Linked DNA regions of Lytechinus pictus. The protein of the gene in region 1 purifies or fractionates together with the protein of each later gene. This does not show direct contact. Links are inferred from orthologs where the notes say so. Each region holds a gene or a part of one and is shown in the gene's direction. Other genes may lie near its edges.

The links.
Region 2: the proteins of calnexin-like (region 1) and gamma-glutamyl hydrolase A-like purify together in Homo sapiens (affinity purification with mass spectrometry; 3 studies listed by BioGRID and IntAct, with this or other methods). This does not show direct contact. The link is inferred for Lytechinus pictus from reciprocal best matches to the Homo sapiens genes CANX and GGH.
Region 3: the proteins of calnexin-like (region 1) and protein-L-histidine N-pros-methyltransferase-like purify together in Homo sapiens (co-immunoprecipitation; 3 studies listed by BioGRID and IntAct, with this or other methods). This does not show direct contact. The link is inferred for Lytechinus pictus from reciprocal best matches to the Homo sapiens genes CANX and METTL9.
Region 4: the proteins of calnexin-like (region 1) and mannosyl-oligosaccharide glucosidase-like purify together in Homo sapiens (affinity purification with mass spectrometry; 3 studies listed by BioGRID and IntAct, with this or other methods). This does not show direct contact. The link is inferred for Lytechinus pictus from reciprocal best matches to the Homo sapiens genes CANX and MOGS.

The regions. Positions count from the first base shown.
Region 1 is NW_026974140.1:13,618,526-13,626,913, reverse strand, and holds the start of calnexin-like, read left to right. Parts: upstream 1-5,141; 5' UTR 5,142-5,201; intron 5,202-8,388. Other genes in the region: coiled-coil domain-containing protein 138-like, read right to left, coding at 2,705-2,734. UniProt on the Homo sapiens protein: Calcium-binding protein that interacts with newly synthesized monoglucosylated glycoproteins in the endoplasmic reticulum. It may act in assisting protein assembly and/or in the retention within the ER of unassembled protein subunits.
Region 2 is NC_087254.1:19,500,247-19,508,659, reverse strand, and holds the start of gamma-glutamyl hydrolase A-like, read left to right. Parts: upstream 1-5,310; 5' UTR 5,311-5,410; coding exon 5,411-5,498; intron 5,499-8,035; coding exon 8,036-8,198; intron 8,199-8,413. UniProt on the Homo sapiens protein: Hydrolyzes the polyglutamate sidechains of pteroylpolyglutamates. Progressively removes gamma-glutamyl residues from pteroylpoly-gamma-glutamate to yield pteroyl-alpha-glutamate (folic acid) and free glutamate.
Region 3 is NC_087246.1:64,750,354-64,758,113, forward strand, and holds the start of protein-L-histidine N-pros-methyltransferase-like, read left to right. Parts: upstream 1-4,547; 5' UTR 4,548-4,763; coding exon 4,764-4,871; intron 4,872-7,760. Other genes in the region: serine/threonine-protein kinase 24-like, read left to right, coding at 32-704, 1,188-1,360. UniProt on the Homo sapiens protein: Protein-histidine N-methyltransferase that specifically catalyzes 1-methylhistidine (pros-methylhistidine) methylation of target proteins.
Region 4 is NC_087256.1:13,569,146-13,576,957, reverse strand, and holds the start of mannosyl-oligosaccharide glucosidase-like, read left to right. Parts: upstream 1-4,682; 5' UTR 4,683-4,818; coding exon 4,819-5,535; intron 5,536-6,004; coding exon 6,005-7,812. UniProt on the Homo sapiens protein: In the context of N-glycan degradation, cleaves the distal alpha 1,2-linked glucose residue from the Glc(3)Man(9)GlcNAc(2) oligosaccharide precursor in a highly specific manner.

The DNA.
Region 1 (8,388 bases):
ATTATTATCATTATTATTCTTTATCATTGGAAATGTGCCCCTTCCATCCAGTCCGTTCCTTGTATTTCATTTAATTCCTTCAAATGAAATCACTGTAGACTCATTCATAACTTTTGGGTATTATCGTAATTATTATCATCATTATTGTCATTATTTTTTATTGTATTTATTTATTATTTACCTAATATTGTTATTCTTATTTTTTGTTAACATTATTTATCTTTTATTTATTATTTTATAATAATTATTATTATTGTTATTATTCTCTATTATTAACATTATATTAACCTTTATCATAATTATTATCAACATCATTATTGTTATTAATCTTTATTATCATCATCCCCATCATTATACTATTGTTGTTATCATTACTTTACTTTTCATTTCCGTCACATATTTGTATTGATTACTTTGTTTTGGGGTGACTCTTTCAATAATAACAACAATAATGAAAATGATGCCAATGATGATAATTATAATAATTAATACCCAAACGTTATTATGAGTCGATCTACAGTGATTTCATTTGAAGGAATTAAATGAAATACAAGGAACAGAATGGATGGAAGGGGCACATTTTCAATGATAAAGAATAATAATAATAATGATAATATAATAATTTATAATACTATCATTATTATAATAATAATAATAACACCAACAATAATAAAAAATAATGATATATGATGATGATAGTAATAATATTAATAATGATAATAATAATATTGACAATATAATAATAATAGCAATAATAATGATTAAATAACAACAATAATAATGATAACAATAATGATAATTATGATTAAATAACAATAATAATATAATGATAAAATGATAATAATGATAATATAATATGATAATGACAATGATAATAATAATTCCCGAAGGTTTTGAATGAGTCTTCCTTGTCACGTTACACTGGGAAACTGTCCCCATCCCCTTGGCCTTGTCGAACGAGCACGATTTTATGTTGTGAGGGGACGGTATCATGAGTATAATATACTGTTGGAGCTATCCCCACTGCGTGCAAAGTGAACTTGATTTCCCGTAGAGTGGGGACTGTATCACGAGTATATATAGGGAGAGAATCCAAGTGTAAGTGTGTTATCATTTCGCAAGTTCTCGAGCGCGAGCTGTGCGAGAGTTGGGGACTGTGTTCTGGAGAAAGGAAGTGATTTTCTTGCGTTCTGGTAGGTGTGATTCTAATATTAATAATCCCCATTTTTGGATTTGGGGACTATATCACGATTATGCCCAATATTGGCCGTGCGCCTCTAGTCTACTGTACATGTGAGGAAAAAGATACTGGCCAAAAATCACCAATTTTGAGGATAACCGGAGGATGGACACGGAGTGAAATACGGGTGTAGAGTAAGAATATTTATTTAAGTCATTCATATCCCTCGTTATATTTTTTTTCTTTAACTTTTACGATAACCATGATTGCCATCCCACCTTATGACTCGGAATATCCGATCTAGTTGAAGTAGTTCACTGTCCCGATGTTCGGGTAGGTGGAGCGTAGTGTAGCGCCTAGCCGCTGCGGTAGTGAAGTGGAGTGGAGCCTGCGCGAACATCGCCTGAGGCTGAGCCTGAGGTACCGTACCGTACCCGGTAAAAGGCGGTATTCGTTAATGACATGTCTGTGCAAGTTTTATATATGATGATGATAGTAATAATATTAATAATGATAATAATAATATTGACAATATAATAATAATAGCAATAATAATGATTAAATAACAACAATAATAATGATAACAATAATGATAATTATGATTAAATAACAATAATAATATAATGATAAAATGATAATAATGATAATATAATATGATAATGACAATGATAATAATAATTCCCGAAGGTTTTGAATGAGTCTTCCTTGTCACGTTACACTGGGAAACTGTCCCCATCCCCTTGGCCTTGTCGAACGAGCACGATTTTATGTTGTGAGGGGACGGTATCATGAGTATAATATACTGTTGGAGCTATCCCCACTGCGTGCAAAGTGAACTTGATTTCCCGTAGAGTGGGGACTGTATCACGAGTATATATAGGGAGAGAATCCAAGTGTAAGTGTGTTATCATTTCGCAAGTTCTCGAGCGCGAGCTGTGCGAGAGTTGGGGACTGTGTTCTGGAGAAAGGAAGTGATTTTCTTGCGTTCTGGTAGGTGTGATTCTAATATTAATAATCCCCATTTTTGGATTTGGGGACTATATCACGATTATGCCCAATATTGGCCGTGCGCCTCTAGTCTACTGTACATGTGAGGAAAAAGATACTGGCCAAAAATCACAAATTTTGAGGATAACCGGAGGATGGACACGGAGTGAAATACGGGTGTAGAGTAAGAATATTTATTTAAGTCATTCATATCCCTCGTTATATTTTTTTTCTTTAACTTTTACGATAACCATGATTGCCATCCCACCTTATGACTCGGAATATCCGATCTAGTTGAAGTAGTTCACTGTCCCGATGTTCGGGTAGGTGGAGCGTAGTGTAGCGCCTAGCCGCTGCGGTAGTGAAGTGGAGTGGAGCCTGCGCGAACATCGCCTGAGGCTGAGCCTGAGGTACCGTACCGTACGTATTCGTTAATGACATGTCTGTGCATGTGTGTGCATTCGAATTGGCGTGTATTCAGTAAATCTAAGCTAACTTAACCTAAGAAATTTCAATTGAGTCGGCACTGGTATTTACAGTTCTATGTTGATAAGATTTCCGAGACATCTCACAAGGCACAGGTTCTGGTAAATTTGAATTTGCGACCGGTGATTTGGGGTTAGTGGTAAACACGACGACATTCACAGCTGATCAACATTTGATTTTGGTGCCAATAGATAGTCTTAATCTATGAAATATTATTTATTCAGATAAAGAAAATAAAATAAAAACTAGTACCGGTAGTTTAATAATGACCCAGTACCAATAGAATTCAATGAAATTATTTCAAAGATCATTAAAAGTCGATTGTGAAATAACATTTACTAAATATTCTGTACAGGATTTACAAATTAAATTACAAATTATCATAATAAAAAAAAATTACAGGGTCTTTAGCCGATTGCAATTCATCTTTAAAGTTAGCATCCCAAACTACGCACTGCTAGAATGACGATCGTTTTGATGATCTCAGAAATATTTAAATTTCAAATTTTCATTTTAAAAACGGCAGGAGCCGCGAAACAGGGGGTGGCTGGGGGGCTTCAGCTCCTCCTGTTTTTTTTTTCCAAACCCGGGTACAAAAATGTAAAAATTACCATCCCATAGTGAGTTTTTGCATGGTCATGCACTTTTGGCTCAGCCGCCCTCCACTTGGCTCAGCCGCCCTCCACTTTTGGCTCAGCCGCCCTCCACCTTTGGCTCAGCCGCCCTCCACTTTCAAAACTGTTCTGCAGCCCCTGAAGAGTGAATCTTTTTTTTATCATTTAATGAAAATTATATTTCAAGAAGTTTTAAGTTAGCATGCATTTGCAAACTAAATATTAATAAAAGAAATCCACACATGTTATATGAAAGAGACAGATAAAAATATCGAAACTTTATAAAGTGGGAATGGGGGAAGGCCAGATTTTTTTTTTTTTTTTTGGGGGGGGGAGCGGGGGTCCAAAAATAATAAAGACCCCGGACATAATCCTGGGGACTTAAATTAGGCACGTTCTCATTTATGCAGAGTTTTCGAAGTGTGCCCCTCTTCCCCTTTTAAACTCACTATGGACCTTTTTTGCTTGTAATTATATAAATGTGATTTTAGCTTAGTATAATTTACATATATAAAAATCGTGCAAAGTGTTTTAGGGCTCCTTGAAAATTGTTAACCATATTTTTACTGTATTTAGTATTTATATTTATTTATATATATATATATTTGATTTGTAACTTAATATGTGTGGATTTTGATCAATAAATTTTGAAACTTGAAACTTGTCGAATTTTCCTCGGGAAAATGTACCCCCTTTTTGGAAAATCCTGGCCTCCACTGATTGATTGCATGGTGGAATAATTTCCAAGCTACTTAAATGACTTATTTCCTCGAACTTTGTCAGAAAGCAATTATGGCTCAAATAATCACTATATGTGATGAAGTACAAGTTCCCTTCTTGCATAAAATATAGCTCATAGGAATCAGGGTCGTCCTGATTTCTGGAATTTTTTTTTAATCTTCCCGCTTTTTTTTGGATGTCCAATATAGATCATCTACTAAATTATATACCCATATTATGCAAATTTACTGGCTAAATGATTGCAGGTATTATCAATGGACACATGGCCTTGGATCGAGGCTTGGATCCATGCTTGGATGCACGTATTGACCCGGGGGGGGATATATATTCACGAAATAAGGCATACGGAGATGTGCCACTGGAATGTGTCGCTTTTTGGAAAGAAGTCCCTAACATGGGGTATGGTTTTATGCTGGAAAATCCCTAAACATGGCCCCAATTTTTAGATACTGGCCTTGAACATGGGTCCATATTACTCCAAAGTCTAAGGTGCACGAAATGGGTGATAACCTTTTTTTTGTTGTTGCTTGCTTGTCAAATTTTCCAGGGAAAATCGTGCCCCCCCCCCCTTTGAAAATCTTGGATCCGCCTCTGTAATAAATCCGTAATATAAATGGGTACCTTTTTAGCCAAAATGACCCGTAAATATCATGGGTATGGGTTTTGAGCCTTCAGTCGCACACCCCCGTCCAAACCAAATGTAAGTACCCCCCCCCCCTCGGGAGTATTGACTGCCAAGTTAAGTGATGCCATAGAGGTGGATTAATCCACCACTATGATGAGTGATGCCCATCTCATTGGTCTAAGGCCCCGGTCTAAGGCTAGGTTTAGATTTTTGTGCCCCTCCCCCACCCATTTCTTCTTTTTTTTTTAATGTACAATTATGCCAGATAAAAAGTAGCAGCGCATTTAAAATATATAGATTAAACGTCTGCCAGTTTCAAATATCAAAATTATACTTTTAAAACTATAAAACAGAATTTAACCCATTTAAAATTGCCATCAGTAGTCCAAGTAACATATTGGCAACGCAAATGAACCATCGGAATATTGTCTCTCATTTCTACACATTGGAATTAACGCACACAAAATTTGACCAGTCAGCGTGCTCCACGCGATAATTTTATGCGATGTTTTTTGCATGTGACGATACGATACGGCGTTCATTACCGATTACCGGCGCCGGCGTGAAGGTGAGAACACACCCCTTTTAATATGAATTTGTGTATGAGTGTAGCTGAAAATGGCATTGAAAACATCATCATTTGTATATACCTGTACATAAACCAATTTTGTAGATTCTATTCTAGGAATCGTGCGTTTTAATCAAATCTTAAGTCGAGTGTAGTCGATCATCTTTTTGTGTGTAGTCCCATGTGTAAGAAATGGATGTGGAATTTAATTTGTTTGTCAGTTTGTGCTTGTCATGACGTGATCATGCCAGACAGACTTGGTCTTGAGAAATCGAAGTTGCCATGTTGATGAATGAAATCTTGCTGTATGTTGGTTGGCATAATCGTGATATAGTCCCCAAATCCAAAAGTGGGGATTATTAGAATCACACCTACCACCAGAACGCATGAAAATCACTTCCCTTCTCCAGAACACAGTCCCCAACTCTCGGACAGCTCTGTAAAACTAAGACTGTAGCAAAATGATATTACACACACAAATGAAACACACACTGTAGTGTATATAAACACTTGGGTTCTCTCCCTATTAATTTATTATATACTCGTGATACAGTCCCCACTCAACGGGGAATCAAGCTTGATTTTCACGGCGGTGGGGACAGTTTCAAGTATATGTAGCGGTCGCGCCCCCAGCTTGACCACTAGGTTGATACCTGAAGCTAGAATATAAGGAATAAGTCACTAACCAGTATTTTCCTGGAGTGATGTCCTAGTTCCTGTCTATTCCGTGTGAGTTCAGCTTCAAATACAATGATCCAAGGGATCCAACGTCCTCCAGCGTCTAAAAGGGGTCCAGCGCCATCTCCCGGTGGAAGACCTATATGGGGGGTGGGGTGACTTACTACAACAGTCCCCCCCGTTCTATAAAACTCGGTCCCTCGAGTTTCCAACCCAAATGGACGCTATCCAAACCAGACACCAGGCAGAGGGAGGAAAAAATTCTCCACTCCCTAGGCACCCCAACCAGGAGACCTTATCTCCCGGCTGGGCATGAGTAAATACAAGCCCATTTAAAAATTCCCTTTGGTCTTTTATGTACACAATGCTCCTTAAAATTTGGCAAAAAGTACTTATGCAGCATTGTTCTGTCCCAAGTCTGCATTCCCAAAATTAATTATAATTTGCTACCCGTAATCAGCCATAAACATATTCCGTTCTTTTATAAATAAAAACTCCAAAACTATCCAAAACACTTGGCACAACTGTGCTAAAAACTTGTTCAACACTTTAAACTTTAAAAACCCGTAACATGAAAACGGTAAAAACCCGTAATAACACCTAAAAACCTAGAGTTTTGAGGTTCTTTAAAAAACCCATACAAAACATATAGAACAATGGTATATATATATAAAAATATAAAACCCATACAAAAACCCATATCCCAGGAGGGTCCCCCCTTCCCAGAAAGCTCCACTTTCCCATAGCAGTGGGCTGCCGCTGGCCCTCCCCTGTCGAGGCACCATCTTACCCGGGCTGTGCAACACATAGCATTCCCGTTCGGTTGAGAGACTGGAGCACCAGTACCCAACCTAGGTCCCCCAGGTGCAGGAAGGGGGCGTCAGCGCTGCCATTATGCGAAAAGGGCCATTTAAAACACTCCCCTCCAAAGCGGACCATGAAGCATTTCCTACATGGCCTAAATATACAAAAAAGATAGACGAAAACAACGAACACAACAGACACAAAGAGGAGGCGACTCGGCTGGTCCCTCCCGTACAGAAAAACATATAGGGTCCTAAACGCGCTAAGCTAACCCAAAAATGCAAAGGGAATCGAAATCCCTTCGTGACAAATGGAGGACAGATCTCCTCCAGTCCCTTTTTTCCTCACTACACCCCATAGAGTGCCAGATGGTTAATCCTAGCTCGCTCCATGAGGGTGAGAAACCTTATCCGCCAGGCTGAGGTGACAAGCTCTCCCACCTCGCTAGTGAACCCAGGGTAGGATCCTTCTCCTGTTCCACCCGTAACGGGTCGATGGGCAGCTGCCCATCGGTAACGCCCACTGGCCTCACCCTGACCGACTTGTACTGGACTGGCTCCACCTACAAGCTGAACCATTAGCCCCAATAGTACGGCTGCTTGCCTGTAATTCGGTAGAGGAACCGCGATCCAGGTGAACCCATTTTTCAACAGGGAGCGATCCCGTCTCCCTTCCCTTCAATTTTTCAGTTTCCCCCAACACCTCAGAGCAGGTTACCTTAAGGTGCCTATCAGATGGGTTCTGTTTTCCCAGCCCTGTAAACCGAACCGGGAACTAGGAGCAGTAAGCCATCCTAAGGGTTAAACATGAAATCCTCTAAACGTTGGTCTATAATGCCGGTGATCCGCTTGACTGCATTCGGAGGAACAATTACCCGCTTGTGCAAATGAACCCGGGCAATCTGCCGCCCAGGGTCATCACTATACCAAAGTGGAATCCTCTGACCTCCCAACTGCATATGCGGATCTAGGAGGTGAATCGCAGCCTTGCGCTTGCTGAGGAAATCTAATCCCAGGAGCATATGATCAGCTATAGGGGCTACATATACTTCCTCCGAGAATGTCTGGTTCCCAAGCTCTATGGAAAGGGGACCGACAATTGTCCCTCTCATCTTCATATCCCGTCCCGCTGCATGTAGGATCACTCCTCTCAGTTTAGGGGGCTGGGGGTCCAGTGACTGCAGGAGCCTATCCGAGATGATGGACACCTCGGCTGCGGTATCGACAACTGCGCTTACTGGCTGCCCCCCTATAACAACTGAGACCTTGAGAGTAGAGCGCGACTCCAACCTACATACCACTACCTCTTCAATCTCGCTTGCACACCCAAGCCCTGGGAGAGCATCTGGAACTGATTCCAGAATGGCTTCACCCAGGTCTGATATTCGGGTGTTCGAGGGACCAACTGGATCCCCCGCCGCAGCCTCTACATAAGTAGCTATTCCGGTTACATTATTCCCTGGGACTATCAGGCGCTCCGACACGCCCTCTGTTATTCCTTCAGATGAGCCTACGGATGGCCCCTCTGAGCTGCTTGCTAGCTTGGAACCCTCTATTTGGCCTCTGGCGGTGGGGGCCGGTGGCTGGCCAGCTCCTCCGACCCGCTGGAGTTTTCCTCCTCCTGGTCCCCTACAAAGGAAACTTGTACCTTGGCCCTGTTTTCCTGGACCGAAGGACAATTGTTCCTGTAGTGGCCAATCCCGCCG
Region 2 (8,413 bases), on another chromosome or scaffold:
GCTGTAAATGTAATTTTAGCCATTTTCGTAATTGAGTCTTACTAAACATCACTACAAGCATGATCTAGTGCACATAATTAGACTTCTTATTTCTGGTAGAGTGTCCCTTAATGGCTGACCTTAAATCTGTCTGGATTTATGTTTAATGGTTTCTGAATAATAATAGTAAAAGTAATAATGGTATTGTTTTATAGAGCGCACACACTGTCCAAACACGCTCATGGCGCTACATGTAGCGTAACAACAAGCTGCAAATATAAACAAATTCTACCAATAATAATAAATTACATGATTGATGCAAAAGGTACAAACATTAGCGAATATATAATTTATTATCACTAATTGGAATTCATAGTCAAATAAAGAAAGTTGGTTGCCATGTTTAGATATGAGATATGTGGTCAGTTTATAGAGCAGAGGTTTTGTAATTTGGTCTTTAACCCTAACTCTCCCGGGGTATTTTGATTCTTGTCATTCCCGGGGGGGGGGGGGGGCCATAATGGCCCCCCCTTAAGATCTCGGCCGCTGATCGAGCGAGCGAGCGACGCAAAAATTTGCACGCTGGTAGTGTGCGATGTAATCTACAGGGCTGTATGGTAAAATTTTCCAAAATAATGAGATTTTATTTTATATGAATTAATTATTCTAATTTATGCATAAATCATACTTTTTGCACTAATTCACTAAATAAAGCTCCTAGAATGCTAATTTTTGGTAAAAATATTCTTTGTAGCATTCTTAACAATCGCGATAAAAAAAAAACTTCGGTTTGGAAATCAATTTCTTATGTATTTTATTGTTTTATGAATTTCTTATGTATTTCTTTGTTTTTTTACTTTTTGTTTTTTATTGTTTTTTCAATGGAAATCGTTCCAGACTTAATTCTGACCATAAACAAGGCAAAATTAATTAAGTTTAATCAGTAAAAGTAGAAATAATGATACATTTATGAATTTTGGCTAAATACACAATTTGCATTGGATTTGTACTTGAAATCACGTTTATGAGCAATTTTGGGTCTGACATGCACTTACATAATGTTGCGTAATGTCGTAACCGTGTACCCGGGCGTCACAAATTTGGTCTCTAAATTTGCGCGAGACTTGAAAGTAAAAAGTCAGTAAGCGGCGAGGTCAAAAAATTTTGCGCAGCAGATATATCGCGAAAATTGTCGAGGGGGGGCCATTATGGCCCCCCCCCCGGGAGAATTAGGGTTAAGGGTTCAAAATGAAGTTGGTTTGCTCAATCTTTCTATGTATTGGTTCAGTGGTTCAGGCATTAGTATCATACTTTTTTTTTTTTTGGGGGGGGGAGTTTACAAAGAGTTAATTGTTAATTTTTTTTAAATGACTGATTTCAGAAGACATTTTTGTACTCTGAAAATGGCTCAATTTCCTGGTAATACCAGTATCGTGGTCAAGTACTATAATATCATGGATGTAAGAAAATTGAGTGGAAGAGAACAATCATAATTTTTCTTGCATTAAATGGTAAAGAGGGTAGCAAAACAAAAGACATATTTTTTATTTCAAAAACTTTATAACTAAAGTACAATGCCCATGTGGAAGTGCCCAGTTGGTAATAGTCATCTGGCATTTGTTGTGTCAAGGTTGGTTGACTTGAAACCACACTAGTTTCAATTACCTAATTGCTTTAACCTGCTTTATACATTTGCTGAATTTGTGTAATATATACTGAGTCGACTAGAAATGATTTAACATTTTTATTTTTTTAATCATGTACAATATTATATTATAGTGCAAATTACACTTTAATCTTTTAAAAATGCAAATAATATGACTTACTGTAAGCTGTATCATAATTTTGGGGCCAAACTGATTGCAAATGATCACCCAAGCAATTGTGAAAGCCCCTTAATCTATAGTACTATTGACAATTAAAGTGGTCATTAATATGTCACTTGAACATTTTGTAGCAAATTTTGAGCTTCTGTGGTACAAATGTGAATGAGAAAACTGATTTTATTATTATTGAATTTGATTGTAAATATGCACAAATTTTCAATAACACCATGTACATATAATCAAAGGCTTTATTTTGAATAGTCATTTAATTATACACATATTTTCATTTTATCCTTTAAGTAAATGGTTACACTGCCTACATAAGTTTTACTATCAAATTGATCCCTCATTTAGTTGAAAGTCCTTGTCTTACAGAAAACTGCATTAGAAGCTTGCTTTTTAAAACCCAAAGCTCAGTATTAATCTCATTCACAAAGTATCCCTTTATTTAAAAGTGATTATTCATTGCATGTAGGATCACCCAAGTGACCTAACTCATCAGAGGCAGATAAAGTGCTTTTAGCTTTGACGATGCAATAAGCCTGTTCACAGTTGTAAACTGCGCATGAGCAGTAAAAGGTTATTTGAGATAAACCATCAAGTATTTCCTATTCACTGACAAGCATTTGTGATTTGGTAACTATTCATGTATTCATTTGAATATATTCTTTTCATCACACCTAAGCTGCTCTGTACCATGCCTATCTTTGTTAGAATTTGATTGCTTTGCTTGGAAAGCTTACACAACATCTTCATTTGAAAGTGATAGTGCTCACCCTAATGGAACATAGGAAAGGTCATTTTAGAAAAGTTGATCATGAGCCAACTGTGAACTGACTTATATTTAACACTTACAGTCAGTCCGCAAGCCCCTGTGTTAATGAGCAAATGAGCAAGATTTATCCAAGTCCTCTCGTGGCTGAATTCATGTCCCTGCAAAATCTCGTGAATTGTGAGACTTTCTTTCTCAAAGAATTTAACCACTTTCTCCTTGAGTAATATTGATTATTTTTGTACCATGGGCAAGAGTAAATGTTACTCTTTTATATTGGTCATTTCTTTTGAATGAAATATTTTGATAAATAAGTGATTTTTTTACCTGAAAAGATGCATCAAACAGAATTTTCTTCCTCTGTTTTCACTTGCAAATTGTGCAACATTTTGTGTTTTAGGCACCAACATTATTTATATCATCAGAAAGCTCAAACTCTATACTTTCTTACAATGTCACTTTTGATATGTGGCATCTTTTAGATGGGTCAGCAGCCAGCTTTTTCCATCAAGATGCAAGACGAGATTTCTGAAATTTCTGAGTAACATAAAATCCAGAGTTCTGATTGGCTGAATACTGTTTTCAAAACAAACAGGCGCGGGTAATTTGAAGAGATTACCACATGGTGAGTGTGACCTTGCAGAGGCCCAGTGTGGGGAACATTGGAATTTGCATGGGTGTGTGGTCTATATGACCAATCAGAGCGCAGTATTCTTGTTTTTGAGCTGCAAAATGTACTTGGCCTATGAAAAGCTGGCTGCTGACCCATCTAAAATACATCTTCTTATAAAAATTATATCATATTAAAGCTTAGATCTTCAACTTTATCATGATTTAAAAATAATTTGTGCCCAAACAGAAATTAAGTGTGAAAATAACAACTTTTGTTGCATGAAAAAAAAAATTTGTTTCATGTTTTAGATCAAAAGTTTTTCCTATATTACAACATTTTTTAAAAAATCCAAACACATGACCTAAAAGAATGATTCTTCTTCTTTACAAAGATACCAAAAACATGAAATTTGGTCAATATTTAGAGCAGCAATGGCCGAATAAAAAGAGGTGTTTTGGTTCGCACCAAGCTCATTAACTATGCAAAAACCCTCTAGTCATGAATATCACTTGGATAAAAGAAGCTACTTTTTCAGGGCTTGCGGACTGACTGCTTATTATTGTTATTTTTTATTGATTTATTTATTTATTATTATTATATTTTCTGGGGAGGGGGGGGGGGGGCAGATGAGATGTAGTAGCATATGATAATGTTAGAAATTGAAAATTGAAATTCACTCAATTTGATTTGTACTACAATGTAACTACAAGTAATATATTTTAGGAAATATAAATACAGATGATTTTTACTTGTCATTTTCAAACTGTCATGAATGTACTGGGAAATACAGTTATATATTACCCATATTTTGGCTGTGATGGTCTGTTTTTTTTCTTTTAAGAAATCGTCTAGAGTTTCAGAGGTTATATTCCTGTGGGTATGTTGTTGGATACTTTAAAATGGAATATTAAAATAGGAATGGAAATAGTGTTTTTTGTCATTTACATTTTAAAATAAAAGTGGTTACATTTATTCTAGTTATATATATATATATATATATATATATATATATATATATATATATATATATATATATATATATACTGTATTAGTTTACAGTAAGACCTAAAAATAATAGTTTTGTTAACAGACAGTTTGGATTTTTTTCCAAGAATAGACTCTCATATTCTGTTTTGACTTTGAATTGAAATGATTGCCTTATCAATTTGATGAATAGAATGGTCTGATCGTAAATCATAAACAAGTGATTGAAATGCATAGAATAATTTTTGTAATGCACTTTGATGCACAGATTAACTATTTGCCATGTTTTTAACTCACAGACATACGGAGAGGGAGAGCTGAGAGAGAGAGGGAGAAAGAATGGGAGAGGGGGAGGGAGGGAGGGAGAGAGTGAGAGGGGGGATGAGAAGAGGGGGAGTGGCAGGATGTACACAATAAAGAAAAAAAAGGATGTGCTCTTTTTGGGAAATAAGATAAAACAGATGAGAATGAATATGAATGAATTGTGATGGCAGTAGACCTTAAAAAAATTGAAAAGAAAATGAATGTGACTACAAAAGCCTTCCTTTCTGCCTTTTCCAACGATGACAATTATTCATTTCCATTGGACATGCAGCTTGCAACCCTGAATATTTTTTTTTTTTTGGGGGGGGGGAAGGGGGGAGGGAAAAATTGTATACCCCTGTTTCCTCACACAAACACCCAGTAGGGTAATGAGCCAAATAAAATTAGGGGGACAAACCCCAAACATCACTGTGTAATGAGCACAATTTTTGAAAGTTTTGAGTGAACAAGAAATATTTTTTACCTTCTTTGATAAGAAAAGCTAAAGAGGGATTAATTAGTCAATATAAAATAACATATTTAATGTGTTTTTTTCCTTTCCTTTTGTTCATTTTTCTCATTTTTATCTTGGTGGTGGAACTTTTTTGGGCCAGGCCCCCCCCCCCCCCCCCATTTACGCCAGTGAAGACACTCTCTCTATTTTAAGATTTTAATTTTGTTGATTCTTGAATCCTTTTCGTCTATCGACCCATTGCGTCCACCCTCGCCACCCGGCACCCCCACACCATCACGTCATCGGCAGGCATCCTCGGCCTCCATCTCGTAGCGAGCTCGAGCTCTACCGTTATAGCCTCGCTATCATCAAGTGCGCGTGCGTGGTCTGATAACTCTGATTGCATCACACGATCGTTCACAACAAGTACGGCACCGTACTCGAGGATTTTGCAGACGACGTTCCGACTTAATTTCACAATGAATACTTTTATCTTTAAAGTAACTTTCCTAATTATTTCAGTGTCAATCATCTCTACATATGCTCTTCCACTTCGTCCCGTTGTGGGTAAGTTGCAATACCACGTATTTATTTTTTGTTTCACTGAAGTAATTCTCCGGCTGATTTCTCGCCTTTTGATTGTGATTACGGAAACTCCACCTGTGTCGCGCCAGGCGCTCTGGCTGGGTGAGAGCTGCGATTGCTATTATGTTGAGTGGGCCCAGCATAGTCGCAATACGTGTGAGTGGAGTGGGCCCTCCATCGCGGACCTCACTATTTAATTTGACCGTGCTTAATTGTGCCAAATATTTTTGACTAATTATCTGTGTACCCAAAGACACGTATCCAAGGTCCTCGGTGTATTAGCTGATTACGAATTCAAGCAGGATCTGTGTTTCACATATTTTTTAGTAATAGTATCGTCACGTATTGTATTTGTAATGTATTACTAAATTACCGGACAATATTATGATTCCGGACGCGCATATTACTGCGTTCGAAAACAATTTCGTACCGTAAGACTTCCGCAATTCGATTTCACAGAGCAATACATAGAACAAGATTGCTAAAACAAGGTGAAAAAATCAAACTTTTACCTTATTTATCTCTAAAATGACAGAAAATGCTTAAAATATCATATGACCAGTAGAGGCGCACGGCCAATATTGGAGACTGTCTCCAATGTGGGAGATTATCTCCAATATCAGAGACTTTTGTAAAGAATTTGGGTATCCAATTTCAGAGACAGTCTCCAGTTTTGGAGTCCAATTTCCTTTGTTTACATTTGCTGCAAAAGGATTACCTTGGCGGCAAATAAAAATGTGATAAGCAGATTCCTCATGAAAAATTACCCCTTTTCACCGTCTACTTTAAATATTCACCGTCTACTTTTGTTTTGATAAGGATTTTTGTTGTCAATCACATACAAAACAAATGGGCTTCTGACCTCAGTGAGACAAAAATTTTGGGTGGAAAAAATCATGCTTTTGTTGGTGTTGTTTCTTTTGTCCTTTTGCAAAGCAAGTCTCCAATGTGGGAGATTGTCTCCCCTATTGGAGAGAGTCTCCCATATTGGCCGTGCGCCTCTACTGATGACATAGTTTGCATTAACAATTTGTATATTTTCTAACGGAAATATGGGCCTGATTTGCCGAATTTCAATCTCGTCCACTCCTTCGATCGAATGATGAGGTATGGTGTATTGTGGGTGATCGTCGACGGCTAGTTCTCAAGGTACCCGTGCGCGAGGTTTACCGTGAGTAGAGCCGTCGATCGGCAGCGCATCGATAGAACTTATTATTATTGGAAAGTGCCATGGAACATGCAGCAAACAAGATAAGATTTAATAAGTTATCAAATACGAATTTATTACCAACATCTGCTCAGATTCGATATAAAAAAAGCAAATAAAAACTTAGAATTTACTCATGATATGATATAAGAAGAAAAAAATCACACAAATTTGTTCTTACATCATTATAATCAAGGATATCTTTACCCGTCCGGCGTGCGTCCGAAAATAATTGTTTTTCGTGGAGGGGTATGCGGCAAGTGCGATGCAAAGAAAATGGTTGGTAAATATAAAATAATTTCATCATATTCATAATTTTCATAATATTTGGAATAGCAAGTGTGAATTTTTCTTGATTGTATTTCCTCTAGTTGTCATTTTTAAAGCACTAAAATAAAGGTGTCCGGCAATAGGATACACTGCCAAAGTCTTTTTACAGCATGCATGTTTATTCAAGAATAATACACAACTTCACAAGCATTTATTGTGTTTTGTCTTTTGAAGAAACATTTCATTGGAAAGCAGACCAATCAATGCATGCCATGCAGTTGAATTCATCTGTTTGGAGGGGTTTTTAAACATATATTTTTTTACATTTAAAACTTTCCTACACAATCAAGAGAGTAGTCAAGTCAGGAGTCAAGTGGAACAACTGACATCACAGAAACTGAAGCTTTTGGTCTAGCCAGTGATGAAATGGATGAGAATGAGAAGTTTGACAGGAGATTGAGAAGGAGAAGGATCGAAAGAAGAAAGGAGGATGAGAACTTGAGAAGCAAAAGTAGGAGTGCTCAGTTAAAAAGTTAAAGAAGGAAAATGAGGGTATAATCGAGGAGGGTGATCATGTTGCAAGAATCTATTCTGTAAATCTAGGTCTAGTTATCCACTTTATGTGCCGGGCTGTCTTGACTATAGTTCTGTATTGACTTATGATGAACAATTTATTGATTATTAGTTACAATAATGCTACAAAAGATATATGTAAGACTAGAGGGCCATTTTCCAAGTTCAGTTCAATCCAAATCAATTTTTTTATAAGGGCAGTGTAAAATGAGCCTGATTGTAAGTTGTCATTATAAGCCCTATATTTTTTGATAGTCTGGAGGAGCTGCAACATCAACCATGAATAATTTTCCCGGTCTAGACAAACATACCATTTTGGATTTACTGAGAGTGGTAGGAGCAGTTATGTATTGATACTGCATCTAGAGAATTTAATTTGAAAAGAAAGGGGGAAGGTAGTCTTTTAGGGCCTTACTGTTAATATTGGTAATTGAGTAAGTTACACATTTTTTTTCCAAACGCATTTAAGGTGTGTTGGCGCAAGGGAGTTCCTCATCGACAAAGAAGTATGGGGCCTCTTACATCGCTGCATCCTACATCAAGTATCTGGAGTCTGCTGGTGCTCGAGTTGTTCCCATCCTTGTAAATCAAACGGATGAATACTATAACAACATTTTCAAATCTCTCAATGGGTAAGATGAGGTTTCAAAGACATTTGTTCCTGGGAACTCTGCTTCTGTAGGAAGCTATGGCCCGTATTCTGAAGTCAGGTTTAACTTAGACCACGGTCTAACTCTGCTAAAATTATGGGGAGCCAAAAGTTAAAAAATTCTGTATATATTGTATGTTTCTTATGTTTACTATTTTGTTTCCTTTTGCTTTCATAATGAAGAAAAATACTTCAGTT
Region 3 (7,760 bases), on another chromosome or scaffold:
TCACACACACACTCTCTCCTTTAACTTCCAGAAGATCAACGATCTGCAAGAGATTGGTCGAGGAACCTATGGAAGAGTGCTCTTGGGGCGACACATCCAGACTAAGAGGGCTCTGGCAATCAAACAATCTTGCAGATCACAAAACCACCATGCGTCCAACGAAATGGTCAATGAATCCACTGACACGATCAGTGCTAGGGTAGAGAAAGAGGCAATTGTTCACCAACTTCTATCCGACAGTCAGTACTTTCCGAGCTTTTTAGGCACGCTCGATCTCGACAACGACCCCTGCTTGGCAATAGAATTTGTTGGAAATCAAAAGTCGGGGACCTCCTTCTCTCTCCTCGAGCCTCCGTCTTTGTCTGTTACAAACGGCCTCGACATCGCAGAGGACGTCGTGCGAGGAATGATGGAGCTTCACGACCAAGGGCTCCTGCACAACGACCTCAAGACCGATAATGTCCTTCTCGAGAAAAGAGGTCATAGTTACCACGCCGTCATCATTGACTTCGGTATGGTCAGTACGATCTCGTCGCCGTTACAGATGACGGAGCTTCCTGAAGAATTGAAAGTAGCATACATTCACGGAGAGGAGGGTGATTACGTAGCCCCCGAGGTCGTTCTACATGGACAGTCAACATCGATTTCATCGGATGTATTCTCAGTTGGCAAAATCCTTGAAGACATCACAAAAGTTGTAGAAGGTAATTTGCAAGATTCCTCGTGTAATTTATCAGAGGAGTATATAGAATATATAGGGGACAGGGGCGTATATCAAGGATTGGCTAAAGGAGGGGTGGGGACAGTGGTGTACATATTTTCTGCCAAGCAATTTGCCAAATAAAAATAAAAATGGGGTAGGGCAGGAGGTTTTGTCCCCAAAATTATGAATTTTCAGGTCAATATATTAGTTGCTATCATCCCCATGCACTGCTCGGAGTCTCGGACCGGTTTGGGGCCAATTTTCTTGAATAGTCGGGTTACGCCATTGTCCAACCAGCAGAAGCGATAACCGCTTTGATGGCATAACTGGAATGTATTTCCTTTGAAAGCAAAGATAAAAGACTTCTATAAAAAAAAAAATTGGTTTGAATAATGCCCGGATTAATGAAGATTTCCTTACTCAGTTACCTTTTTCCTGATTGTGTCCGTTTTACTTTAAATTCTTCTCCTCCACAACCATGCAGAAAGATGTCCACTTCTGAAAGATCTAACATCCTTAGCCATCAAATGCATGAAGAGGAATCCACAGTCAAGACCGGACCTTTCCTTTGTTCTCGAACATATCACTTCCTTTAAGAAACAAATGGATCGCCGCCAAATTCCACTCTGGAAAAGACTCGTTAAAAAACATCGATGAAGAGTGAAGTTTCACAAAAGCAAAATCTTTCCGAGCAAAACATTTGGACCATCAATATTTAAAAAGATTTGCAGACATATAATTATGCTGGTCTTGCTGGATATACAGTATATGAAGTCGTACTAATTCATCTGTCTATAAACGGTTACACGATAATAATTGTCAAGCAGGGAATGGTAGCAGACTAATGATGAGTTTGCAGAAGCAAATGGATTACCTGGGGAGCGTTCATAAAATGACTTGTGAGACGTTTTAACATTAATTTTTATCCGTCAAGTCCCCAACAGTTACCATAGTAACAATGCTTCTCAGCCAATCAAAATCAACAAAAGAGGTCTGGCGAGCGTTTCAGACGTTTATCCGACAAGTAGTGATTTATCCGACAGTTACTATGGTAACATTGTCTCTTAGCCAATCATAATCAAGGAAAGTTGTCAGACCTGATAACTTGTCGGGTGAAAATGTTAATGAAGCGCTCATCGGATCTAAAACATTTTCGGACGAAAAATATTGATGAAATACCCCTGATTAACAATTTTTTACCGGATAAATAGTAATAGAAATATTGTATTTATAATTTCGATTGATGATGTATTTATAATAGTGTTTTCAGTGCGCAGGCGCATAACTTGTTATTTTAATTTAAGACGTATTTTGTTTTTGTTTTTATTCACTATATTCATGGGATAATAAAGAAATTCTAAGATTTTATGAATAAGTATTCTTATCAAAGAACATATGCAGTATGATTTTCAGTAAATGTTATAATAATCATTCCGAAAGATATGAAAAATGATGGATTTAACATAAACTATTGATTCATTCAAAGAAAAAAAATTTACAGCATTTCAATTTGCCTTTTCACTGCCAAGTTCAATATTTTACATGTTATGTTACATTCAATATCATGTTATAATGATGAGCCATTAAAGTTTGTGGACTATCTTTTCAAATTCCTCGCAAGCTATAGTTGTATACAAAAAAGAAGTTTTCGAAGTATGCAAAAAAATATTATATATACGACATTTCTGTGTGACTTTTCTGTTTAAAAAGCAATTAAAATTAGTTATTGTTAAGTAATTTGATTTATGCAAAGACAAAACCCTTAAATTCTGAACTCTATGGACTCTTGGGAGCGTAACTTGAAAGCTCTTGTGGGACATTTTATCCGACAAGTCCTGTTTTATCTGACAGTTACCATGGTAATGGTGCTTCTCAGCCAACCACATTCAAGAAGAGTTGTCAGATCTGACTTGTCGGACGAAAATGTTGTTGAAACACTCTCTGGTAAGCTATGGGAGTCAGATGTTACAAAAAAATCGTAACATTGTAGGCGCAATTAATTAGCTCATTCTACACAAAGTCAATTCATAACTGTCTGGGAATTAGGGGGATAATAAACGTAAAAAGCATATATTTTCGGCTTCCCATTTTTTTAACACAGTTAGACCATAAATTAAACTGGACTTCAGAATACTTGCCATTATGCTTGAAATATTTGACATTTCTGTGTTACTTATTGGTATATTAATTATTAAATTCAATATCACTGCCGATCTTGCTGTGCGTTATGAATAAGTTTTATTGAAACCTTACCATGCATACAGTATAATGATGGTGATGATGATGATAACAATGATATTAATTATATGAAAATGATAATCAGGATAATGATAATGGCGGTATGATGATGGTGATGACGATGATGATGCATGATAGGCATATTGCAATATGCACTTATTGGTTATCAAGAGGGACCATGCATAGGCGTCACTCCGACCTTGAGCCGGGAAGGGGGGGGGGGCTTTTTAAGGACTCTTGGTATGAATTCAGTAACATGATACGTGTTTCACCATTTAAAGATGCGCGCGCGAAGCGCGACCTAAAAACAATGCATTATAGCCTAAACACTTACTTCCTTAATCATGAACACGCCATATCTCTTACTAAACAAATAACGCGAGCATTATGAAGTGTGAGCTGATTATTGTTGATGTTCATACCTGAAAACTATAGATTTTGAGCACCTTTATAATAGTAACGGTATCCGTTATTTGTTTATAATTTGAGCGCGAAGCGCGAGCTGAAATTTATAAATGGGCCTACATATACCTGACTAATCTTGAAAGGAATTGAAGCATTGTTTGACATACATGCATAAAGAAAAGTCATGAAGGGGGTAATGAAGGCTATACCAGTAATTAAATTTATGCAAAGGCGCAAAGCGCAACCTTAAGAACGGACATTTTTTACACATTGTTTTTTTTTTAACAATAGGCAGACAACTTAAAAAAAGGAACTTTTTAAGCAGTTTGTTGGATATGTGATTTATCTTTTTATCTTTTTTTTTTTTGATATGCAAAAAAAAAATTGACAATCAAAAAGACAAAAAAGAAGTTTGTCATCACTCTCAAATGACTAAGGTTTGTATCTCTTTTTTTTGGAGGGGGGGGGTAGATTTCTCTTGTGCCAAGACCTCTTGCCGCCCACCCCCCCCCCCCACCCGTTGATCCGAACCTGAGCAATATCTTGTTCTAACGCCATATTTACATTCCAAATTTTAATTGTGCCTGTCAAGGGGGGCACGGGCCGGCTGGTGCCCCCTGGATCGATCCGCCAGTGTACTGAAGGTACAGTGAATACCATTTTCAATTTTCTGAGAAAATCACATTTGATTGAGTTTTTACCATACGATATGTAGGAAAGCTGCTCGCATATGACGTCACAGATCATAGGCCTATAATTCAAATTCTATTTATTTTTTCATCCTTTCATGGATTTTTCTCAAACCGGCAATATTTTGTTACTATTTTTCCCGCTATTTTTCCAATGAATGTTCAACAAACCCACCCATCAACCAGGGGCGGATCCAGGATTTTCCTAAAGGGAGGGGGGGGGGCAATTTTTTCGGAGGAAAATTTTGACAAGCCCCCCCAAAAAGGGTTTTCAACCACAAATTAAGGATATTTCGTACCCGAAAAAAATTTGACAAGCAAAAAAAAAAAAAAGGTCTTCAATTTCAAAAGAGGGGGCACATCTCGGTTTCAATGGCATTTTTACATTACAAATTTTAATTTTTCTTCTCAAAAGGGGGGCACGTGCCCCCTGTGCCCCCCCCCCCCCCCCTGGATCCGCGCCTGCCACCAACCCAATTAACCCAACCCGGGCCCCCGCCCGGGCCCAACCCAAACCAAACCGAACCAATCCAATCCAATCAAACTGCCTTGCATCCTTGCATGCACCGGCCTCGCCGCTTAGCTAGCCTCACATCACCTGGCCGCGGGACCGGGGCGCGGCCGGGGGGCCGGGGCGGGATGCAGCGCAGCTGATCGGTCTAGCTAGCTAGTTGATCATGATAGAGTCAAGCGACTAACTTCCGAGACTGACTGAAGACGAATTTATTATGGCTTCTCATCGAATTCGCAACCCATTACTCCGTGCAATACATGAACATAATACAGATGAGAGGTTCAGGAGATCAAATTTGAGAAAATATTATGACGTGGAAGCGGTAAGATACTAAGAATCTAGAAAGAAAACAATGTGTGTTTGGTGCTGGTATATTTTTTTTTACAAGGCAAGGGTCCCACATATCTATTTTTGTATTTGTGTACCGTATCTAATTTTTTTACATGTCAATATATTATATAGTTTTTGTGAGAGACTGCCACTGCCCTGACTCTGTACTTATTCAAACTTTCAAATCAAAGAGCTTATGTTGAAGTTATGATCACAGTCATGCGAGGTTAGGACAACATCTATCGAGGTAGACAGCTGGCAGCCATGGCATCAGTTTCTAGGAGTTTTTAACGTAATTTTATGACTCGTACACAGACCAACTGCGTAGCGTAGGCAAGGCTCGACATTAGCGGTGGCCCGGTGGCCCGGGGCCACCAGAAATTCACATCGGGCAACCATTATTGATAAAATGTTAAGTTTTGGTGGCCCGAATCGGGCAACCAATAATTTTCAAAAGTAGCGCAATTTTTCTCCCGATTTTGCACGCATTTATCAACTTTCTACAGTTCAAATTGCAACCCAGTTCGTCATGCGCCCTTTTTGTTGATCTACACACAAATACACACACACAGTTTGCATATTAGGCCTACAGTTATAGCATACAGTAGCTATTATCCAGCCAGCCGCACCGGCCGGCTGCTGGCGTGAGCTAGCTTTGCATGAAGCCACTGCATACAGCTGTGCATGCTCTAGATCTAGCTCAGCCTATTCACACTCTGGGAGCTGCGATAAAAAATGTTGCTGCTTAGAAATCTTCCACAGAACTTTGAAAATCTGAGTCAAAGTCACATTTTACACCAATGAAATGACATTCTACAGTCTATATTACGAAAATTTGGTGTACCCTGATTATTTGCAAGCATTAAGAAGAGGAATTATGACCTCTCTTTTGACTACAAAAGACCGATTTCCAAATGAATTAATACACATAAAAACACATAGGCATGTACATCACAGTCCCACATGTGCATTTGTATGTATGTTGATACTTGGTTTCTTTCGAAGCTGTGTCTTTTCTAGCCAAAAATAAACAGACAGTTTCTTTCTTTCTTGTTTATAAATGACTTCTTAAACCACTCTTGAGATACTTTGGGAAGGCATTTCATTGATATGAAATGTGAATTTTTTCAACATTTTGGCAAATATAGGGAAGGACTTTTCTCTCACTTTTTTTCCAGATATAACTATTGCCGTTTTCTTCTTATTTTTTTTCTTTCATTTTTTTACAGCACTTGGTTAAACCATTTATACCCCTTCCTATTGAATATACCTGATTAAAAAATATGTTTCTACTGAAAATAAAATAATACAAACTAAAGGATATAAAAATAGAAATGTGCCATTTCCAGAAGGTAAGTGAAAATTATTTGCTTGGCTTTTAATTATATTCCAGTCAGAATAGACTGTTGCCACAGCTGTTAAAAAATATTCGTAATGGCTTCTTAATTTTCCCCTTTTCCCCATTTTTATATTAATTTTGTTTTATTCATTTTTCTTTCACTTTTTTTTCTCTAAATTTTCTTTTCTTTTTTTTCCCTGTTCTTTGTTTTTCCTTTCTTCATTTTCTTTCTTTTGTTTTATTTCACTTATTTCTTTTATTATTTTTGTTTTCTTTTTGTAATATACTTTTTGAAAATTATTTTCATTTGTTTCCCCCTTTTATGCATTGTTCTAATTTTTACAACGATAGAAACAATTTATATTTTACCACAAGCCAATTAGCAAAAACAGCAAACAAGGTTTACATACAAGATGATAAAGTGAAAGTAACTTAGTGGTAGTGGCTGCAGAATTAATATTTCAGAAGTTTGTTTTATTAATTTTTAATGTGTTTCTTTATATTTTTCGGGCCACCAAACTTTAATATCGGGCCACCAAAAAAAATTATTTGATGGTTTTGGTGGCCCGAACGGGCCACCACCAAAAAAAGTTAATGTGGAGCCTTGGCGTAGGCGTAGCCAGGATTTCATTTTTGAGGCGTGCTAACACAGAGTGCGCGAAGTGCGCTCCCTAGGGGGTGGGTGCAGGGAGAGGGAGTTTCCCGCTCCCAGGCGAAGCTTTCTATGTTTTATGAATTAAAATGAAGAGGAACCGTCTCTTGAATTTATTGTGATTTTGAACCTTGTTTTCAAAAGTGAAGCAAAATTTATATATATAAATTTAGAGAGAGAGTGAAGTAGTTTCATTAAAGGGGAATCCAGCCTTGGCCATAAAATTTTGTGTTTGGAAGGAGAAAAATAAATTAAACAGAATGGTGAAAGTTTGAAAGAAATCGGACAAGCAATAAAAAAGTTATAGCTGCTTTAAAATTGAGATCACTAATACTATGTAGATTTCCAATTGGCAACTGGGTAAGTTAATTATGACAAGGGGCAAGGACAACTTTCCCATAGGCCATGTACTTTATTATCAGGGATTTGTGATTTTCTCTTAAGTACCCATTCCCCTGGGGAAGTAATCTAAACATAACCCAGGTAGTATATTGTTTTATGTCCTCATGAAAGAAAAACATAATTTGAAATAAAACTTTGGGGGAAAATGACACTTTAGCCAAAATATGTATTGGAGTACATGGAAGAGTAGTCCTTGCCATACATCACTATAACATCCCATATGCAGCCAATTTGAAGTTTCCATGGGTATAGTGATTACCAATATTTACAACTTTTAAAAATTCATAACTTTCTTGTTGTTTGTCCAATATTGTTCAAACTTTCACCTATCAACTTATCTGATTTTTCTTTTCCTTATAAAAACAAGTTTTTATTTGGGTTGGATTCCCCTTTAAGGTACTAGGCCTACTTCTTTTGAGAAAAAAAGTTAAAGAGTAAAAAGAAAAAAACCCCAAAAGCTACCTTTCTTCCCTTTCCTCCATTCTCTT
Region 4 (7,812 bases), on another chromosome or scaffold:
CCCCCCAAAAAAAAAAAAAAAAAATAGATAGATAGATAGAAAATATAAATGATTAAATGAAAATGAAAATAAAAAAGTTTTTTTTTAATGGGTGTCTCGACAAGCGGGGGGGGGGGCACTGGCTGACATATGAAAAGAGCATGGAGTGATGAGGAAACGAATGAAAATATTATAAACAAAAAAGACAACTAGTGATCAGATCCAGTTGCAAATATTTTTCTGCAACGGGCCTGGGGGTCGGTATATATATGCCGCCAAACAAGAAAGAAATAATGAAGTTTAAAAAATGTGGATTATGCTTTTGATTTCAGTATAAAATTTGGGGTTTTTTTACTTATAATTGTTATTTGGATATTCATTCTAAAACCGATCTAAAGTCGATTCAAAACCATTCATTGGCTTTGATTTAAAGGCACAATCAAACATACAAGTTCATTTTCTAAAGATATACTCCGCTATATACTTTGCTGCGTAGGATGGAGGTCAGTCATACATTGAACATAAGATGCTACAGCGTATGATGCAGGCACCATGCAGGATTTGGAAGTAAAAGCATAACAAAAATATTTATATGATTCCTGTTCATTTCCCCTAAAAAGCCGATAAATAACTTTTTTTAATTACTATTCTTTAAACATAATATAAATCGCCACCAGCTATATTCTTGATGAACCTCACTCATGCATGGGAATTTTAAAGTGCATTTTACTTCATGAAATAAAAGAGGGGGACAAAGGCTTCACAGATATGAAATGTTTTGCGATTAAGTTATCAGTTTCGTTTCTGGTGGGAGGGCATAATATATTTTTTTTTAATCTGCCAAGCGGTCTTATCTAATAATTATTGCAGCTGAATATTCATCGAAGAAACTGACTTATACAAATCTATGGCTGCCCTTTTCAAAATTTTAATCGAAATTACTTGAATACCTTTTATGGCAGGTTTGACGAAGGGCCGATATATACTATTTTTATTATTTTTTGCTTTCATTGATTGGGGGGTCTATAGGGTTTTACTCTGCATGTGGGAAATTTGTCATTATGGCAGTGTATCCAAAAATTCAGTCCCCTCGATTTCTTTAACCAATGATTGAATGCTACTATACTTTTCAATTACCAATTACAGGTACATATCTTTTTTCCAATATGAAATAAGACCAGTTATTTTGATTATCATAGTCGGATTCCAACCCGACTGAATCCGTCCCATGAAGGTGGATAAAAATGATCAACGGCATGCATCAATGGCAATAGCGCCATCTCCTGCCTTTGAGCACCAGTATGAAATGTACATCGTACAGAAAATAGTCTTTTATGAAAAAAATTATAAGTCAAGCGTATGAATCATGGGTCACATGCACGGGGGTGCTGCGTCCCCGTGGCCTTACGCAGCGGGGGGGGGGGGGCAATCACCCCCAATTTTTTTTACTGAAAATTTTACCAAAGTATAGGCCTACAGCTATCCTTTAATTCCACTTTGTAAAAATGCAAAACCGCCCCAATGACAAGCTCGGTCGCTTAATCGCTCCCTCACTTTCAGCATGCGTGTTGCCCCCCCCCCCGCGAAAAATTTCTGTGTACGGCCATTGCTGCGTCACCTGCGTATGCTCATATAGACAGCACCCCCTTTAAATCTGATAATGCTAATAGCAAAATGTCGATCACCACTCATCTTCATTTCTTAGCGGTGGAAACATTTTTTTGCATTGCTTTTTCATGGACCAACCAACATCACCTTCATTTTGTAGCAGAACCCTTTTTTTTTGGGGGGGGGGGGGGCAGGGTTACTTTTCAAATTTCGGACACTTTCATTTTGTAGTGAATATATACCCTTTTTGTCTTGTTAGATTTAAACCAGCACCCCTTTGAAAAAAAAATTGTTTCTAGGGCCCTCACCCTGGCATGAATGATTGAAAACTGCTGCTGGAAAAAATAAAGTTTATTCACTGAACATTCCTTAATGTTTTAAGTTAACATCAATCATAATATTTTTTCCCAAAATGAATGAAAATTAAATTAATGAATTATTATGTCACTACCCATGTTACACCAGGTAAATGCAATGGTAAAAGTTTCACAATATCTCCCGTTGGGAAAGTGCCCGGGGGGGCCACTTACATTGACGACTGGATACCATGCGCGACCAAAAAAACACATAAAAAGGATGTCTTTTTCAAGATAGGGCACGTACGTTATTACGTACGTAACGTGATAAGGGTTTCAAAAACAAAAAAATAATGAAAAAAGGGTATCTACTTTCGCTAGGAAAGCTACGCGTTTAGGGTCAAATTTGCGGGGATGATAAAACAAAATTAAAATGTTTTATAAAGGATGTCGTTTTTGCCCCCAACACTACGCGTTTAGAGTCCGATTTGCGCCAGATGTGGAAGGTGGGGCTGTACTTAACCAAATGATGTGTAAAGGTAAAACCGACGACCGACGGACCCGTGACATAACAAATATTGCTGTACTTGTTTAGGGGTTCATTTCAGGGAATACTTGCCAAGAGTATCGTTTTGTTTCCAATACTTGTTAAAGGGATGGTCCGGGCTGAAAATATTCATAGCTTAATAAATAGAGTAGAATTCACTGAGCGCAATGCCGAAAATTTCATCAAAATCGGATAACAAATATCAAAGTTATTGAATTTTAAAGTTTAGCGATATTTTGTGAAAACTGTCGTCATGAATGATCAAGTATGAAATAATGAAAAAATTATGATTTTATGTAATAACATAAGAAAACGGAAAGTGGAGATGTGACATCATCAGCCCACCTAATGAATATTCATGACGACTGTTTTCACAAAATATTGCTAAAATTTAAACTTCAATATCTTTATTATTTGTTATCCGATTTTGATGAAATTTTTGGCATTTTGCTAAGTGAATTCTACTCTATTTATTAAGCAATGAATACTTTCAGCCCGGACCATCCCTTTAAGGGTAGGGTTTCACACGCCAATACTTGTTAAGGGGTGCATTTTCAGAATATGGAAAATACGTGTTTAGGGTGCTTTTCGAGACCCCATGGTCGCGCATGGTATCCACTCGTCAATGGAAGTGGCCCCCCGGGGAAAGTGCTCGAATTTTGGACAGAAAAGAAATAGCCTCATAATAGTCAATTAAGTTGCCAAAAACTGATCGATGAGACATCATTGGATTGGCACCCCAACGCGGTCGCGATCGTGGAGCCCACCCTCCTCCTGACTTCATTACATTTTCTTTATGGATTGTGTATATGTATTTAGACCTTTTGTTCAACATGCAACCAAATAATATGCCGGGATAATGTGGAGTTGTTGTGATAGTCATACCAGGAAGGGTATTTTCTAAAGCTTCCCTCCCTGATATGACAATATATATATATATAACATATAAATATATATATATATATATATATATATATATATAGTGTGTGATGATAATAGAACTTATCAGAAAACAGCATAAATCAATCATACTCAAACGAGAGTCATATTGGATTCTGAAACTTAAGACACTTGTACCAAACGGCATCAATGTAGAAGAATAGATATTTTCTAATTAACCTCAATCGTGTGTCACATTTGTTACATCAGTGTCACTAGTTAAATGATTAAATGATTTTTTTTAAATACTTATTGTTATGTATTTGTTATGTGCTTTCTAGATGACCTAAGCTTGAGAAGTGAGACTTTTGGTCATTACGCGAATTATCAACAATTTTATTTATAATCTCAATTTGATTTCAAAATTTATATCGTTTCATAGAAATTTAATTACTATGCTTGTAAGAAACAATGTTTTCGACATCATCCTCCAGCTTACGATATCTAATATCATGAAAATTCATATTTATTGTGACATAAATTAAATGCGCATACCAATGCGCTTTGCGCTTTCACCACCTAGCAACCAATGTTTTCATTGTGCAATTTTTGCCACTTTCCTAAAGAACGAGATAGGATACGGTCATACTTAACTATCACAATAGTCTGTAATTACAGGTATGTCTTCTTCATTTATATCATTATTATTTTAATTGAATTAATTATTTATTATTCATTAATTTATTTATCTGTTCATTCATTAATTTGTCATTATGGAATATATTCAACTTGGTGATAATAATGTGCAAAACAAACTTGGATGTTGTATCTCCTTATATTTTTCAGACGCTTCTGGGGCTTCTGACGAAGTCTCAATTAAAAGACGAAAGCTAAAGCAAATAATGGTGTCCTGCGTCATCTGTTGAGTTGGCCTCGCCTCATCTCATTATATATATATATATATATATATATATATATATATATATATATATATATATATATAAAGACGGTATATGTACTTGATAAAGACGGTATGTACTCGTCGAAAATTTGTGGACTTCAATAAATTTTGTTGGATTAAAGCATGAAAGTTTCAACCTTGTTTCTCTTAATATTACTCCAACACGTGGAATATCTACCGAATATATATATATATATATATATATATATATATATATATATATATATATATAACCAATGGGTCATTATCTTATTATTACTGATTCGTATGTTGAATATTGAAATAAACTAAAAAATGGGTTTAAAAATCTAGTTATGGGGGCTAAGGTATATGCCATCTGACGTTGATTTACGTCCGAAATATGAGACTACGGGCACGTGGCGACTTTTGAGAGTATATCCGATATCGATACCGAATGAGCTGGGTGAAAGACTAATACCGGCAACGCGTACGTAGACTTGTTTGAAAAAAAGGAATGAATGTTTAGCCATCAACCAGCATTTTGCGGTGCAAAATGCTAAATTAGCTGGAGTGGACTAGAATTGTTCATGAGTATTATATTTCAAATTTTGAAATTTATTCATAATAGTGGCAAAAACCTAGCAAATCGCGTTGCTTTCAATCACCCGATCAAGATGCCGAAGCAACGTAAGCAAGCGGGGGTATCTCCCCGATCGCGGTTCACTGACGGAGGGGGAGGGGCCCGCAGCCGTGAAACTAAACTTGCGAAACTTGGAAATGGAGCACAGTCTCGGAAGGCAAAGGATGAGGCGGCACAATCGTCTTCGAAGTTCATAATGTTTCTGTTGACATCTCTGATGATTAGCATACCACTCATGATCTTGTGGTATCAGCATGTCCTTCGATCAGCTGTGAAGACGCCGCTAAGCGCTCCACTTACCATAGCGAGTGATGCCAGTTCCGCCGCCAAAAGTCCCGGGCGGTTTTGGGGTACATACCGCCCCGGCGTCTATTTCGGCTTAAAGACACGCTCTCCAAAATCACCTGTCGTGGGTCTTATGTGGTTTCAACAACCAACTTCTCCTAGTCAAAATCCAGATCTGAAATTCAGGCACACATGTGAACAAGGAGATGGGTTGGACAAGTATGGTTGGATTGAACATGATGGTGTTAATTTTGGAATTCAAGATATTTTTGATGGTCCATTCCATATCAAAACGGCTTTTGCAAAGAGTGGAGGTGGACTTCAAGGAGGGGACTGGTCAGCATCTATTTCTGTCCGATACAAAGATGGAGTAGATATTGTAAGTAGTACTACAACTAAATACTGATGATACTAGGCAAAAAAACTTAGCATTATGAATTTCTACAAGATAAAAATTGGACATCACAGGTTGATAAATAACAATGTAGATCTACATGAATTATGAGTAGCTGTAAGAGTGCTACGATGATTTTGAAAAATATATTTTATTATATGGATTAACCAAATCTCTACACTGTTTTTCATATATCTTTTCATTCTATTTTGAGAATTCCAGTATTATAATGATTGCTTCATTGAATTGGTATCTAATTCGGGAGAATTGTATTGTGTTTGTGTTTATGTTTAACTCATATGCTCCACCCAAGGCTCTTGCCTAAGGATGGGGGGGGGGGGGTGTCGGCAGAGTGATTTGAATGTTGGTGATCTTTGTAATTCTTACCTTCTGAACTGATGAAAATAATATACTGATTATCATTAATATTATACTTGTAATGTTAATTCTGCAGACAAAGGGGAAGAAAACACTGAGCCTCATGTTTTACTTCGCTCTCGATGGTCAAGGATCAATTGAACCAATCCTGGATGGAAATCAGCTGCTGGGCATCAAGGGCACCACAGAAGAGCTCGGGAAGTTTGTCCTTCGATTCCCACAACCAACAAAAGTCAGGATGAACAACTACTTGGTGTCCTACACTCCTGGCCTCCATGCAATCAAAGACCTTGTCATGCGGCGGTTGAAGTATCATGAGTTGAAGAAGAAGATCCAGCTTCTTGGTCTTGTCGGGAATGACCAGCAAACGATTGCAGCATCACCTGATAAGACAGCAAACATCATCGTCTATCAAGTGACTGTAGAACCTCCATACATCATGGATGTTGTCTTTGAATCTGGAAGCAAAGCGGACAGGGAAAAGGAGCTTGCTGGTTCCGAGTTGACAAGTCTTGTGCAGAGCTTCAGCAATAATTTCAACCAGCTTTTTGAGGAGAAGTTCGGGTTGATTGAAAAGGGATACGCTCCTGATGAAGTAGTGTTTGCAAAAGCAACAATGAGTAACATGATAGGAGGTATTGGGTATTTCTATGGGAGTTCGGTTGTTCAATCCAAGCATAATACGGAACCGGTAGCATACTGGGTAGCTCCTCTGTACACTGCAGTGCCTTCACGATCGTTCTTTCCTCGTGGTTTCCTGTGGGATGAAGGGTTTCACAATCTGTTGATTAGCAAGTGGGATCCATACATCAGTGTAGACATCATAGGCCACTGGCTTGATTTAATGAATGCAGATGGTTGGATACCTAGAGAACAGATTCTAGACTCTGAGGCTAGAAGTAAGGTGCCTGCAGAGTTTGTAGTTCAACATGATACAAATGCTAACCCTCCAACATTTTTCCTACCCCTCCAATCATTATTGAGGGACGGATCATCTGTAATCCCAAAGAAAGAGTTCACATCCTTCCTAAAGCATATCTATCCCAGGTTAGGTAAATGGTTCCAATGGTTCAACACAACTCAGTATGGTCCAGTCCCAACATCCTATCGTTGGAAGGGTCGTGATAGCAAGACAAATCGCGAGTTAAATCCCAAGACATTAACCTCTGGATGTGATGACTATCCTCGAGCATCCCATCCCTCAAGTGAAGAACGTCACATTGATCTGCGTTGTTGGATGGCATTGGCTTCAAGTGTGATGGTTGAGATAGGCAAGACCATTGGGTTACCATATGATCAGTATGAGCATACATTGCAGGTCCTAACTAATAATGCCCTTCTTGAGAAGCTTCATTGGTCCCCAAAGGCAAAAATGTTTAGTGACTTTGGGAACCATACAGCTAGAGTTGTGCTAGAGCGCCCTCACCCACCGCCCCGCCAACCAGGTCAACAACCTGTCCAGATGGAGATGGTTCGTGTTGTCAAATCAAAAGTTGGACCCACCAACAAGTATGTCAATTCCTTTGGATATGTCAGCCTCTTCCCATTCCTTCTCCACATCCTTGACCCTAACTCTGACAAACTTGGCAAGACCCTCACCGACATGAAAAACCCTGACATGTTGTGGACCAACTATGGACTTCGATCCTTATCAAAGAGCGATCCGTTGTACATGAAACATAACACTGAACACGATCCACCGTACTGGCGTGGAGCTGTTTGGATCAATATTAATTACCTAGCTCTTCGTGCCTTGCATCATTATGCTAATGTTCCCGGTCCTTATGCTGCTCAAGCTAAAGAAATTTACAGTGAACTCAGGGCAAATGTTGTTAGTAATATTATAAAGCAATATAATAGGTCAGGTTATGTGTGGGAAAATTA